Danio rerio: one gene and its partner. The protein of the gene in region 1 interacts with the protein of each later gene in a pairwise test. Links are inferred from orthologs where the notes say so. Each region holds a gene or a part of one and is shown on either strand. Other genes may lie near its edges. The genes, in order: poc5 and cetn4.

What was found.
Region 2: the proteins of poc5 (region 1) and cetn4 interact in binary tests that used the Homo sapiens proteins (3 or more experiments, as listed by UniProt). The link is inferred for Danio rerio from reciprocal best matches to the Homo sapiens genes POC5 and CETN1.

The regions. Positions count from the first base shown.
Region 1 is NC_133180.1:46,918,811-46,923,422, forward strand, and holds the start of poc5 (centrosomal protein POC5), read right to left. Parts: upstream 2,890-4,612; 5' UTR 2,788-2,889; intron 1-2,787. UniProt on the Homo sapiens protein: Essential for the assembly of the distal half of centrioles, required for centriole elongation. Acts as a negative regulator of centriole elongation.
Region 2 is NC_133189.1:1,595,624-1,598,581, forward strand, and holds part of cetn4 (uncharacterized protein cetn4), read right to left. Parts: intron 1,453-2,958; coding exon of another isoform or gene 1,432-1,452; exon of another isoform or gene 1,429-1,431; coding exon 1,300-1,428; intron 604-1,299; coding exon 466-603; intron 1-465. UniProt on the Homo sapiens protein: Plays a fundamental role in microtubule-organizing center structure and function. Plays a role in sperm cilia formation.

The DNA of each region.
Region 1 (4,612 bases):
AAAACTTTCAGGCACACTTTTTACTCTTATTAAAAGAAAATACCCAAAAAACACATTTAAGCGTTTATTTTTTTGCACTTCATCAGTGTGTGTCTATAGATTCCAACAATAATACATTTCAGGCTGTTTTCTTAAAAAGATTTTTCTCTTCTGCACCTCACTAAAAATATCCACCTCATTAGCACTTACATACTGTACAGTTGAAGACAAAATTATTAGCCCATCAGTGAAATTTGTATATATATATATTTTTTTTTTACGAATTTCCTCAATGATGTTTAAAAGAGCAAAGACATTTTTCACAGCATTTCTTATTTACCATCTGCAGAATGTCTTATTTCTTTTAGTTTGGCTGATATTAAATAATAATAAATGAGCAATTGGATGTGACATTTGCAATAAAAACTCAAAACATAAGTTAACAATATGAAATATCTGGTTATATTTTCCAAAACAACTAACCACAGAGTTATGGGATCAAAAATATCAATCTGTAAACATTTGTTTTAGTTTGAATAAGAAAAATAAACATGCGTTATGGATGTGAATGAAAAGTCAGCGAGTTTACAGTATACAACTTTGTAGAAATTCTGTGAATTAAACTGCACAACCCCCCAACCACCTCCGCAAATTGGTCAAAAATAAAAAAATAAATAAAAACTGCTAAAGTAAATTTTAATAGCACCTTTAGAAAATTGGCTACGTATTAAGTACCAGGTGAAATATTAAATATTTCATCATGGCAAAGACAAAAAAAAATTGTTTTTAGAAATATAATAATTTTTAAGCTAATGTGCTTTTTAAAAAATGTAAAAAAAAATGTAAACAGGATTTATTCCTTGAAAAAAAAAAAGACAAATTTCCTAAGATGGCTAAAAATTTTGCACTTCACGCTGAAAAATATACACCAGACTTTACAGTTTTATTCTATATTCAGGACAGGAGGTTTATATGGTAGGACACGTTTATACATAATTTGCTTGATTATATACTATTTGTTTTACAAAAAAAGTTTGCTCAAGGTTTTGTAGTATTAATGTTTTCTGAACTATGAAGTGATTAAAATATATATATCCAGAATCCCCTTTGTTAAAGCTTTTAAGACAAGTAGATTAAAAAATAAACAAATAAAGAATCATTCGGAGCATGAATTCATTCATTCATTGTCCAGATTTTTATTTATTTATTTTGTGCTAGAACTGAAAGCACATGGCTAATCATACAATGGCTGGTTAACATATTTAAACAATTGAGGTAAAGTTGGTTTTACATGATCACTGGGGCTGCACAAAACATCGTTTCAGCATCTTAATGTACGCATTTGCAATAGTCACATTGCAAGATATGCAATGTTGAGTCTGAACTACAGTTGACTCGGAGCTAGGAGATGTATTTAATTACTGTGTTTACACAGAATCTATATCAGGGTGTCTGCATGGTCTTAAAATGTCTGAAATTTCAAAAACTAAATTTTAGGCCTTAAAAAAAGTCTTAAATTTACTGAAATTTAGTCTTGTAGGTCCTAAATCATTTTAAACAGGTCTCAATTTTCCTTTGTGTATGTATAGCTATTCAATTGATCCAACACATCTCAATAAAACTTTTCACAAAACTCTATTTATAACTAATATTATCGTATGTAATGTTTATTTGACATGGGCATAACAATTACACTGGACAAACCAAATGCATTTGTAAATGTTTTTGTAAACTTGCGAACTCTCAACACCTGTCCAAGGGCTTGATATAAAATGAAAGTCAAATAAATATACACAACATTATAATTCTTTACATCAAATTGCTATAAGGCAAAAGCGAAAAAGACTGAATAATTAAAGTAGCTTGGTAAACAATATAGAGACTGTGTCACTGTTCAAACAAATGTGGCTGGCAACATAAAACCAACTTTGCTTCATAACTTAAACACAACATTTAGGAAAACACACGAAACAGCTTTGGGGTGCACTGTGGCACAGTGGGGAACACGATCGCCTCACAGCAAGAAGGTTACTGGTTTGAGCCCCTGTTGGATCAGTTGGCATTTCTGTGTGGAGTTTGCATGTTCATAAACATGTAGTTTATGTGTGTGCATGCAAGAGTGTATGGGTGTTTCCCAGTGTTGGGTTGCGGCTGGACGGGCATAAGCATATAATGTTTAAAACATATGCTGGATAAGTTGGCGGTTCATTCCGCAGTGGTGATCCCTGATTAATAAAGGTTCCAGTCATCGGGGGAGGTATGGGAATAACTAAGTTAAGTTAGTTAGCCATTATCTTTTTTACCCAATGTCTTGCCTTAAGATGAGGAATTCATAGCTAACGTTACTTCCAGTCTAACCTAACATTACTTCAAAACAGTTCCCTATCTAACTCAACCATGTAATCATAATTAAAACACTGACCAGACTAATTAGATAACATTTCCTCATGCAGAGTAACGTTACTAATGTTACTAATAATTATATATTTACAGAACTATAAAATCTAACGAACTCTAACGAAGTTAACTTCAGTTTATTTGAGCAGCAGTGATTTCTCATCGAACTTAACGTTATGGAAGGCAAAGGTTCACTGATGTTTTGTTTTGCTAATGTTCATTACTTATATGGACCATATGGTATATTATACAGTCAAAGAACGACCCAGTGGTCACGCATAAAGCCGATATAAGCAGCGAGCTCCAGAGGCAAAAGTGCAACCCAAGTTCCTGCTGAAGCGTCTTAGCAGGCAGTGTGAGTTAGCCTAAACCCACTGCGTGGTAACAGAGATAAAAGTGTAAGTTCATTACCTTTCCAGAGACAGTTCAAATGTATTTGTTATTCTATTAACTCAGCGAATAGTTCCAGTCTGCAAGAACACACACTACTGTTAAAAGCAGTTTCAAAATGCTAGCCGCTGTAGTAAAAGTCGATTTGATTGGTTGAGAATATTCCACGTCTATTTTGTTCATTGTGATTGGGTAGAACGTTTCCGTGGTAACAGAGACGCGGAAGCGAAGCGACTGTTCACTGTTTGTTGACATGTGTTCCCAATGGTCACAACGGCAAAAAAATATAATATATAATTTTCGCTAAATGCAGTCAGATAAAGATTGATGAAAATCTGAATTAGTATTTTAAAAATGTGTTCCAATGAACATTTACATTTTTTTCTTAGTGAAACTGAAAGCATTTTTGATGCCAAAGTCTGCTAATATTAATACAAAAAGTAGAATTTTACAATAAATACAATTAAACATAAAATATAATCTAAAGATATATGTAAAATGTAGTCTAAAAATATACATAAAGAATAAAAATTTGCAACAATACAATTACATTAACTAGAAAAGTTTCTGGACTTGTTTATTTGGGATAATGTTTAGTTTTATTTTTTTATTTATTTGGTTATTATTTTATTTGAGACATTTTATGTGCATTACTATGTTTCATTTACATTTTTTGCAAATGTATGTTTCATTTACAACCTTTGCAAAACCTGCAAAGGTTTTAGACATATCAAATAAATAGATAAATAGAAAACCTAATTTTTATTTTTAAGTCTCCATTATTACAAATGTGTTATCAGTCACAAATGTGTTCACTTGATTAGTTTTTCTTAGTCGCTTTGGTGCATTTCTCACAAAACTAAGCTATTTACATTTGCACAACAGTTAATGCATTTCTCAAAGCAATCAGTCATTTGTGCACATCATAGTAACAGTTTCTCATTCCTTCCAACAAATGCAAATGCCAAACAGGGTTTGTTTGCAAATGCTGTTGGACATGCATAAACTTTCAGACAACTCTCTGCTGTTTTATATAACATTATCATTTGCTTATGTCATATAGTCAAAATTAACTAAACTTGTGAATGCTGAATAGTAATTCCATATAGCCTAATAATTGTCCTAATTTCATTAGTCTAAAATAAGGGTGTATTGATTCTTTTGCACAATTCTGTGAATACATTTAAATAGCAAAGAGCAAATGCAGTAAAAAAAAAAAAAGTGAAACATACATATTCAGTGTCTTGTAGATACCTCACTAAATGCAGAGCTGTCTAACTTTACTGTAGTTTTCAAATAGCTGTGCAAATAGTATACAGTGCTGTCTTGAGCATTTTCAGGAGATGTCACCAAAATCTGAATTTTTTTTTTTTTTTTTTTTTTTGCATTGGAAAAAATTAACAGAATAAACTGTCATAATAAAAACATGACAAAGCCATTTGACTATCTTGTTCATCAACAATGGTGTCAGGACTTTTCATCTTGATGACATTGACACTTTTATTGACATGAATACTTGCTTTTAAGGAATGAGCTATCCATTTGGAGCAAGTGACACACTTTTGCAGGTTACCAGCTATAGTTTTGCAGTTTGTATACTTATTGTTTTGAGAAATGCATTACTGTTGTGCAAATGTAAATAGTGTTTTGAGAAATGCACCAAAGTGACTGAAAAAAGAAACTATAATTGAATTAGAGATAGATAGATAGATAGATAGATAGATAGATAGATAGATAGATAGATAGATGATAGATAGATAGATAGATAGATAGATAGATAGATAGATAGATAGATAGATAGATAGATAGATATACATATCTATCAATACAAACATATATCTATACA
Region 2 (2,958 bases), on another chromosome or scaffold:
TTCTGGAGACAATCCAACACTAATATTGCTGAAGGGGGCTAATAATATATGCAAGTATATCCATGTAAATTTTCAAATAGGATTTGCAATTGCATTTTTCATATGTGTCTGCATAAATTGTGTCATAATCCAAATGCAATTGCAAATCCCGCATTAGCGTTTGCATTTCCGCTTTCGTTACGTGCAGTGACTGCCACATTCCAAATGAAAAAGCAAAGTCCATTTGCAAATGCATTTCCCATGTGTCTATGGGCCAACAATAATTGCTTCATTTTCTCCACGTCGTGCATGTAACATGACGAAACTCTAATGGAATCGCAAATCCTTTTGCATTTGAATTTCCCATGCCAACACTCAAACCTGTCAATCACACGACAGGGGAGGGGATATTTCATTGGGCGTGTTTGTATTGGGAAGTGACGTCACTCACAGTCGATGTGTACTTCTACTGTATTCAAAACTCACCTGCAGCTCCTCATCCGTCAGGTTCTCTCCGAGCTCTTTAGCCACTCGCTTCAGGTTCTTGAAGGAGATTTTCCCAGTGCAGTCATCGTCAAACAGCCGGAAAGCCTTCAGGATCTCTTCTTTTGAGTCTTTCTCACTCTGTTGACACACACAAATGACAACGTTTAGAGCAGAAGTATGACCAAAATCTATGCTGGTTCGAGTCCCGGCTGGGTCAGTTTGCAATTCTGTGTAGAGTTTGCATGTTCTCTCTGTGTTGGTGTGAGTTTCCTCCGGGTGCTCCGGTTTCCCCCACAGTCCAAACACTTGCGCTATAGGGGAATTGATTAACTAAATTGGCTGTGGTGTATGAGTGTATGGGTGTTTCCCAGTATTGGGTTGCAGCTGTAAGGCAATCCGCAGCGTAAAACATATGCAGGAATAGTTGGCAGTTCATTCTGCTGTGGTGACCCCTGATAAATAAGGAATTAAGCCGAAGGAAAATGAATGAATGAATATTATATTTAAAGCTTATTTTTGCCGGTCTTAAATGCTATGAAATTTAATATAGCCAATCAGAAAAAAGGATTTTATTATTGACCTCAGCAGATTTTACATTTTCAATTTTACATATGAAATACTGTGAAAAATGCTCTGTCAACATCACTTGGGAAATATTAGAAAAAGAATTCAAATTTCACTCATAATTTAGATTGAAGCTGGACTCTGTCAGTCCAGTGGTTCACATCACATCATACAGTGAAGACTCATTGGCGTCGTTCTCTGCAGAGCCTGCGGTGCGCTCCAGCGGTCAGATTTACTGTAGATTGTTCTGTTATTGTTTGGTTTGCTCACCATTTTCTGTGTCATCATAGAAAGGAAATCGCTGAAGCCGATTACGCCCGATCCTTCTTTATCAATATCAGCGATCATCTTCTTTATCTCTTCTTTCTTCGGCTCAAACCCCAGAGCTCGCATCGCAACCTGATGACAACAGTCAGACACTGGGTTAGTATGCAGTGTAACAATGGGAACCAGGAGGTGTTTTTGTGCTCATCTTTCACTTAAGAATCAAAAAATAATCTGACTTAATTTATTCAAAATTTTAGGGCTGCACGATATTTGAAAAAACTCACATTGCGATTTTTTTTTGTTTTTCTGCAATATAAAGTGATAATATAATTTCTCAAGATGACTTTAAAATTCTATCTGTAAAGAATTTCATAATTGCACATGGATTTGGATGATTTTGTAGGTGCAGAAACTATTTTAAAGCACAGATGAAAACAACAGAACAAAGATAAAAATGAACCAAGCAGCGCTTTATGGTTTTTGGTGGAGTCTGATAATATTGAGGTACAGACCTTCAGTAATTAAATATAAATCATGTCAATGTTTACATTCCAGATCATATCAATGCTGAAACTAAATATTGTGCAGCCCTACAATGTTTTACTGAAAAACATGTTGTGTGTGTGTGTGTGTTTATCTCTGTTGACTGTATATTCAGGTTAATGAAGTGATAAACATTTAATATGTTGAAAAATAAATAAATAAATAAGAGTATTGAATTTGCCCATTTCCAATCTTCAGTTTTCTGTTCTGTAAATGTATGCAAATTAGTGCATATTTAATTACATATTTCTACCCCATTTTCAAGTTCAAGTTGCTTTATTGGCATAAGAATCAGTACAGTATTGCCAAAGCACTTTAAATATGTAATATATTAAAACCATCAAAAAAATAATAATAATACAGTAGATAAGAAATAATGACAAAAAACTTTGATAAATATAACAACAACAACAACAACAACAACAACAACAATAATAATAATAATAAGTTTAAATTATTTAAATAAGATAAATGAATTTACATTAACCATTTCTTATGGTGTGTATGTATACATATTTTGCAGCTAGTCTAGATGTCAATTCATCCTCTCCGAGTACATGGTAAAGTTTTTTCTGAATCATTTAAATTGAAAAATGAATAAGTCAATGTTTCAAATTGGGGGAAAATATTTCTCTAGTCGTGGTGTATTTAGGGCAGAACAGAAGGAAGTGTGTCTCAACCTCTATTTGGTTTGTGTCACACTGTTTACATATTCTCTGTTTTTTAGGGGTCCAGGATTTTTTATGTCTGCCCTTTTCTATTTCTAGTTCATGATCACTGAGGCGATATTTTGAAAGAATGTGTTTTTCTTTTAATTGTTTAATGTTCAAAATAACCATAAGATTTCAGAAAATGTGTCATAGTATTTAGTAATAGTATTTAAGTCATAGTAATTAATAAGCTGGAAAAATTCTGATGCTCATTATTTAATGTATTATTTAATATTAAAATGACATTTCAGGATAAAATGTCAATTATGAAAGAGTAAAAATCTCTTTATAAAACTATACATGTAGAGACATTTTTAAATACTGGACATTTTGGATGAAAAACAAATCATAATTCCATTATTATGAAATAAATGACAGTGCATAACGGTCTAATAAATTAGTTAATTAT